Linked DNA regions of Stegostoma tigrinum. The protein of the gene in region 1 interacts with the protein of each later gene in a pairwise test. Links are inferred from orthologs where the notes say so. Each region holds a gene or a part of one and is shown on either strand. Other genes may lie near its edges.

What was found.
Region 2: the proteins of micall1a (region 1) and EH domain-containing protein 3 interact in binary tests that used the Homo sapiens proteins (3 or more experiments, as listed by UniProt). The link is inferred for Stegostoma tigrinum from reciprocal best matches to the Homo sapiens genes MICALL1 and EHD3.

What each region holds. Positions count from the first base shown.
Region 1 is NC_081391.1:1,646,420-1,650,332, forward strand, and holds the start of micall1a (MICAL-like protein 1), read left to right. Parts: upstream 1-1,449; 5' UTR 1,450-1,860; coding exon 1,861-2,000; intron 2,001-3,913. UniProt on the Homo sapiens protein: Lipid-binding protein with higher affinity for phosphatidic acid, a lipid enriched in recycling endosome membranes. On endosome membranes, acts as a downstream effector of Rab proteins recruiting cytosolic proteins to regulate membrane tubulation.
Region 2 is NC_081357.1:12,806,751-12,810,663, forward strand, and holds the start of EH domain-containing protein 3, read right to left. Parts: upstream 2,411-3,913; 5' UTR 2,336-2,410; coding exon 2,109-2,335; intron 1-2,108. UniProt on the Homo sapiens protein: ATP- and membrane-binding protein that controls membrane reorganization/tubulation upon ATP hydrolysis. In vitro causes tubulation of endocytic membranes. Binding to phosphatidic acid induces its membrane tubulation activity.

The DNA.
Region 1 (3,913 bases):
GATCTTTCAGGTGGTGGCATTCCTATGCATCTACTGCCCTTTCAGGCAGTTGTGATTGTGGGTTTGAAAGATGTTATCTGGGGACTGTTGGTGAATTTCTGCAGTGCAACTTGCAGATGGTATGTACTGCTGCTAATGAGGAGTGGATGCTTGTGGATGAACTGCCAATCAAGAAACAATTTTTCCTGGATAGTATTGAGCTTTTTGAATGTGGTAGGAGTTACTTTCTTCCAGGCAAGTGGGAACTATTCCACCCTCTCTTGTAGATAGTGAATGAGATCTGGAGAGTCAGGAAGGGAGTTACTCATGACAGTATTCCTAGCCTGTAGCCCATTCTTGTGGTTACAAATCTTTACATGGCTACTCCAGTTAAGTTTGAGTTCAGTTTAGTAACCCCCAGGATGTGACTAGTGGTGGTTTCAGTGATGGTAATGCCATTGAACGTCAAGGGTTGAAGTTGGATTGTTTCTTACTGGAGATGGTCATTGTCATTTGTTTGGCATAAATCATATTTGCCACTTTTCAACCCAAGCCTGGATCTTGTCGCATTTGAATATGGACTGCTTCAGTACCTGAGTCAAATGGTTTTGAACATTGGTAAACATCCCCACTTCTGACCTTTTTGATGGAGGGAAGATCATTGGTGAAGCAGCTGAAGATGGTTGGGGCATGGAACACTACCCTGAGGAACTCCTGCAGAGGTGTCCTGGAGCTGAGATGACTGACCCCTAACAACCTCAATGATCTTCACATGTGCCAGGTATGTCTCTAATCAGTGGAGAGCTTGCCCCCATACATACTGATTTCAGTTTTGCTAGGGTTTCTTAATACCACACAATCAAATGTGACCTTGAGGTCAAGGGCTGTCACTCACATCACCTCTGGAATTCAGCTCTTTTGGCTGTCACGGGGTTACGGACCGCGTGACCCTGGAGCAACCCAAACTGGGCATCACTGAGCAGGATTTTGCTGAGCTGGTGCAGCTTGATAGCACTGTTGTTGACACCATCCATCACTTTACAGATGATTGAGAGTAGACTAATAGGGCAGTAATAATGCAGTTGGATTAGTGCAGGTAAGAAACTAAAGAACTGCAGATGCTGTAAATCAGGAAACAAAACATATTGCTGTAAAAGCTCAGCATGTCTGGCAGCATCTGAAGGAGAAAACAGAGTTAGTGTTTCAGGTCTAGTAAGCTCTAAGTTCTGAGGAAGGGTAACCGGACCTGAAACGTTAACTCTGTTTTCTCCCTCACACCTGCCGAGCTTTTCCACCAATTTTTGTTTTTCTTCCTGATTTACAGCATCCACTTTTTCTGGATTTTATGCAGTTCCACTGGTGGCCATAGTGGGCGCTCTGTGTCGGTGTGCAGTTTCCTTCCGGTGGCCGCAGTAGGCGCGCCGTGTCGGTGTGCGATTCCCCTGTTGACCAGAGTGGGCGCGCTGTGTAGCCATCCAGTTCCCCTTGTGGCCTTAGGAGGCGCGCTGTGTCGGGATGCATTAACAGAGATGATAAGAGTTGGAGAATCTGAGATAACAAAGTGTAGAGCTGGATGAATACAGCAGGCCAAGCAGCATCAGAGGAGCAGGAAAGCTGACGTTTCAGGCCCAGACCTTAGGGATCGATGCAGGGCCCGAAACGTCAGCTTTTGTGCTCCTCTAAGATACTGCTTGGCCCCACACTGTTACCTTGGATTCTCCAGCGTCTGCAGATCCCATTATCTCGGACCGATGCAGTCCCCCTGGTGGTCGGAGGGGGCGCGCTGTGTCGCGCTGCAGTACCCTGGGCGTCTGTAGGGGGCGCAGTAGGCGGAACAGGAGTGTCGAGGAGCGGAAGTGGCGGGTGTCTGGAGCCGCTCCCATGGCGACCCGAGCGCTGCAGGAATGGGCCCGTCTACAGGTGTTGGGATACCCGGGGGTCGAGGTGACGAACATGAGCTCGAGCTTCAGGGACGGGCTTGCCTTTTGTGCCATCATCCACCGGCACCGCCCTGAGCTGATGTGAGTGTCTGGGGAGGCCGTGCAGGGAGGGTCTCTTCCCCCGCCCCAGCCCTGAGGTGAAGAAGTACAGGGCTCTCTACCCCAGCCCTGAGTGACCATGGGGTACCTGGTCAGGGAGAGTATCCCCTAGGGGAGTTCTCGGTACAGTGTTTCACCCAGCATGGAGAGTGGAGTGAGAAAGACGGGGCTTCGGGACCCTGAACTGTTCCTTCATCTCTTCTGGCTGTAAGCTGGCTTGTTGGTCCCTGTTGGAACTGCTCCGGCCTGGACAGAGCTGGGCAAAGTGAGCACCCAGTCTCACCCCGTGCCACGTTCTCCTTGGCCCAGGGCATGCTTCTAGAGTAGCACAGAACAGCAGGGATCAGAATAACTGACTGCTGAAGTGTAAATTTTTCAGTTACGTGGATTGGCCATGCTAAATTGCCCCATAGAGTCCCGGCTAGCTGGATTAGCCACAAGGTAAATGTGGTGTTACAGGGATGGGGGTGGGAAGGTGGATCTAGCGGGAAGGTGGATCTAGCGGGATGTTCTTTGGGGGATCACAGCAGACGCAGTGGGATGAATGGAGATCAGAGCTAATGGGAACTGCAGATGCTGGAGAATCCAGGATAACAAAGTGTGGAGCTGGATGAACACAGCAGGCCAAGCAGCATCTCGGGAGCACAAAAGCTGATGTTTCGGGCCTAGACCCTTCATCGGAGAGGGGGATGGGAAGAGGATTCCGAAATAAATACGGAGAGAGGGAGAGGCGGACCGATGATGGATAGAGGAGAAGATAGGTGGAGAGTATAGGTATGGAGGGGGTAGGTCAGTCCAGGGAGGATGGAAAGGTCAAGGAGGTGGGATGAGGTTGGTAGGTGAGAAATGGAGGTGCAGCTTGAGGTGGGAGGAGGGGATGGGTGAGAGGAAGAACAGGTTAGGGAAGCGGGAATGAGCTGGGCTGGTTTTGGGATGTAGTGGGGGAGGGGGAGATCTTGAAGCTTGTGAAGTCCACATTGATACCATCAGGCTGCAGGGTTCCCAAGCGGAATATAGGTTGCTGTTCCTGCAACCTTCGGGTGGCATCATTGTGCCATTGCAGGAGGCCCAGGATGGACATGTCATCGAAGGAATGGGAGGGGGAGTTAAAATGGTTTGCGACTGGGAGGTGCAGTTGTTCATTGTGAACCAAGCGGAGGTGTTCTGCAAAGTGGTCCCCAAGCCTCCGCTTGGTTTCCCCAACATAGTGGAAGCCACACCGTGTACAGTGGATACAGTATACTACATTGGCAGATGTGCAGGTGAACATCTGCTTGATGTGGAAAGTCATCTTTGGGCCTGGGTTGGAGATGATGGAGGTGGTGTGGGGGCAAGTGTAGCACTTCCTGCGGTTGCAGGGGAAGGTGCCAGGTGTGGTAGGGTTGAAGGGGAGTTTGGAGCGAACAAGGGAGTCACGAAGAGAGTTGTCTCTCCGGAATGCAGACAAGGGTGGGGATGGGGTTGGTGGGGTTGGATTGTAGAATGCAGAAGTGTCTGAGGATAATGCATTGTATCCAGAGATTGGTGGGGTGGTATGTGAGGATGAGGGGGATTCTTTTAGAGCGGTTATTGCGGGGGCGGGGTGAGTTATGTGTTGCAGGAAATGCGGGAGACACAGTTTAGGGCGTTCTTGACTTCTCTTTGGGGGTGGGGGGGCCAAGGAGTTGCGGTCCTTGAAGAACGTGGCCATCTGGGATGTGCGGGAGTGGAATGCCTCATCCTGGGAGCAGATGCGGCAGAGGCGAAGGAATTTTTGCAGGGGGGTGGGTGGGCGGGCGGTCGGAGGTGTATCCTAGGTAGCTGTGGGAGTCGGTGAGCTGGATGAATGGCCTCTTTCTGAACTGTAGGGATTCTATGATAAAAGGAGTCATTACATTATGCCTGGAATAAGAACA
Region 2 (3,913 bases), on another chromosome or scaffold:
AATAAAAGGGAGTTGACATAGGAGAACGTAGCAACAGGCCCTTTGGGCCACCATGCCTGTGCCAACCGGGATTCCACGCGATCTAATCTTACTTACCAGACGACCACGCAAAACCTTCTCGAACATTTTGCTGACATCCATATCGACGTCTACTGTCCTCTGCTGTCAGTCTATCATCTCTTCAAATAACTCAACTAAGTTAGCAAGTCACGATTCCATGCACAAGCCATGTTAATCAGTCTTTGCTTTTTCAATACAGATAGCGGAGATTTCTTTACATATTTGCTTCTTAATTTCTCACTATTTGGGGGCTTATAGTACAATTTCAATGTGATCATCCTTTATTCTTATTTCTCAGTTCCACCCATATAATTTCACTGCATGAGCTCCCAGGATTATCTTATGTACAGCTATAACTAAACACCACTCCCCCTTCCTCTTTCCCAGAGGATCTGTACCCTGGAACACAAAGCAGCAAGTTCGGTCCATCCCTGAGCCACATTTCTGCAATAGCTATGATTCCTCAATCCCACAGTCCCAATAATGCCTTAAATCCATCTGCCTTACATATCAGGACTCTTGTATTGAGATAATTTTGTTTTATTTTTTCCCCAGGACTTACCTTGTCCTGTCTTATTTTTGCCTTGCTCCCCTTCTCAACTGTACCAGCCTCAGCCTCTTGTCACTGCTTTGGTTCTCACCCCATCACCCTTTTAAGGTTGAAAGCCTCCCAAGTAGCACTGGGCAATCTCCCCACCAAGATATTGGTCACTTACAACTCACAGGGAACCCATCCCTGTCATTTGGAATCTTTGGGGTAGAAATGATCAAAGAGAAAAAAGCAGTCCTTGCCCTCTGCACAAGTTCCTCAGCCACACGTTCATCAGCTGTATCCTCCTATTTCTACTCTAACTAGCACATGGCCCAAGTAATAGTCCTGATATTACTAGAGGACTAGTTTTTTAAAAACCTCCACTCTAGTTTCCTACATTCTCTCTGTTGCACTTCATCCCTTTCCCTACCTATGTCAATGGTACCAACATGCATAATAATTTCCTGCTGGTCACTCTCCCCTTTCAGAATACTCTGCACCCTTAGAGATCCATGACTCTTGCACCGAGGAGGCAACATGCCATCTTGAGGACAGCCACAGAAACACCCTTGTATGCTCCAGACTAGAAATTACAATCTATCACTTGGAACCTGACATACCGCTTATTACAATGCGGTCAGTGATGGTACCAGAAACCTTGCTGTCAGTACTATACTCATAATGAGGCCATGCCCCCTCCTACATTATCCATAATAGCAAAGCAGATAAACATGACAGGGGAGAATCAGAAGGCCAAATAACCCTCCAAAAGGACGACCTGAAGCTACAACTTGTTGACAGATAGAATTAACAATTAAACCAAGCTGATGCAGACATGGACTAAATGCAACAAGGTCAGATTGGGATGTCTGGTCAGCACAGATGAGTTGGACAGAAGTGTCTCTGTCTATGCTGTATGTCTATTAACTGTGTATATTGATTACTGATAACTGACAGAAACAGCCCTTACACCCTCCTCAGCGACACCTCTATCTTGGGCATAGTGAATGCAGGTGGGATCCGATTTCTTTAAACAACAACAACAACATTCCTGCCTGGAGCAGATCTCAGGTATGACATAGCCTAGTTTCCGCCAGCCAGCTGAAATCAATCGATCGATCCATACGTTCCCACCTATTTTCCTTATGGCAGATCAAGAGCCTAACCAGGCAGCCTGAGAACCTTGTACACGGCCTTCAAAACTTCTTCCTTAGGCAATAGGTGCAGAGCAAGAGAACAGCCAAGAGCAGTGCCCTCTGCCCTCCTCCGTGGGGGCACAGTGGGGCAGGGCAGCCTCATTTCCCTGCGCAATGCCCACCTGCCTGGTGGAGGGGCAGCGAGGGAGGGAGACACAGGGCAGCCGGATTTCCCCATTCAATGCCCTCCTCCCTGGGAGGGCGAGTGACAGCGCGACAGGGCAGTAGCCTCATTTCCCCGCGCGATGCCCACCTCCCTGCGGCGGCGGGTGGAGACATATTAAGAAATAGGAGGACAGTGAATGGAGGGTCCGGCTCACCTGATGAAGGTGGTCTTGCCGGTGGAGTACTGACCGACCAGCAGCAGCATGGGCTTGTTGTCGAAATCCGCATTGTCCAGGGAGGGCGAGTGGAACTCGTGGAAGCGGTAATGTTCCTCCAGGGGAAGCAGCTTGGTTTTGTAGAGCTTCTTCAGGCCGTCCGTCACCGTCTGAAAGACCTCCGGGTCCTTTTTGCCGCGGTCGTGCGTCCCCAGCCAGCTGAACATGCTGACAGAAAGCCTCGGTTTTGTTTTAAACTTTCCCCAACCCCCAAAATAAAAACCACTTAACTGCCTCAGCGAGCGAGCGAGCGAGCGAGCGAGCAGCCCGAGTACAAGCCCAAACCTTCCCCCTAGATCCCTCTCAAAGACTCCGCGAGCCCCGCTCCGCTTTAAGGAGCCGTGCTCCCGCCCACCCTCGTGTCACCTGTTCCGGTGACGTAAACCAACGGCTTCTCTCTGCGCGCGCGGGCTCAAGTCGCTTGAAGCCGACGGCTTCTCCGGCCGCTCCACCCCCCCCCCCCAACCACCCGGACAAGTGGGGAAAGATGTCAAACCAGAATCGGGGAAAGGCTTCGCGTTCCCTTAGATTTCCAAGATGGATTGACGCCGAGCGTGAGCCGTGAGGGTGGCCTGGCTCTTAACTAGGCAGTGCGTTTGCAAATGTCGCCGCAAAACCGTCAGCGGTGTCATCTCAAGAGGCATTTCTTCTTCTGGTGGCAACTCGGTCCGCGCACGGTGAAGGAGAACAGTTTGCCAGCAGAGGCGCATGGCTTGCCGTGGAAAAGGCCCTACTGCTGGAAATCCAGTTGTGGCAATAAAACTCTACCTCTGACCGGACGGAAGATGTTGCGAGGCACAGCTAACAGGGCAAGTTGTGGAAAATAGTGCTGGAGAACTCAGTAGGACTCACTTTACATGAAGCGAGCCAAAGTTGAGACTTGAATGATTTCTGGTAAAATGCAGCCCTTGTAACTGTTCCAGACAACAGAGCCGGTGAATTGTAGGTTTTGAGTGTGGACCTGGATGAACACAGCAAGCTTTTCTGATGAAGAGTCTAGGCCCGAAACGTCAGCTTTTGTGCTCCTAAAATGCTGCGTGGCCTGTTGTGTTCATCCAGCTCCACACCTTGTTATCTCGGATTCTGCAGCATCTGTAGTTCCCATTATCTCTGTAGGTTTTGAGTGTCATGTTGCAAAATCTCCAGTGGGATTTGGTTTATCCAGGTACAGATGAAGTCATTTTCGGTCTCTGGCAATGTTCAGGATCAAAATGGAAAGCATCATTTAAGGTTATTGCAGATTGAAAAGGGATCTTGAGCAGTTCAATTAATTGACTGAACAGTGGCAGATGGAATTTAATTTTGATAAATGTGAGATATTGCATTTTGGTGAAACAAACAAATGCACAATTTCTGTAGTAGAAAGTAGGGCCTTGGTTAGTGTTGTAGAACAGAGACCTAAGGATTCAGGTAAATAATTCTAATAATATCAATAATTTTTTGACGTTTACTTCACATGTAGATAGGATGGTTAAAGGCTCAGGCCTTTGAGTAAAGGTGTTGGGATGTTATGTTGAGGTTGTACAGGACATTGATGAGGCCTCTTCTAGAGAACTGTACCCAGTTCTGGTCTCCCTGTTTATAGGAGGGATATTATTTTGGATGAGAGTTTGCTCGCTGAGCTGGAAGGTTCGTTTTCAGACGTTTCGTCACCATTCTAGGTAACGTCATCAGTGAGCCTCCGACAAAGCGCTGGTGTTATGTCCCGCTTTCTATTTATCTGGTTAGATAAATAGAAAGCGGGA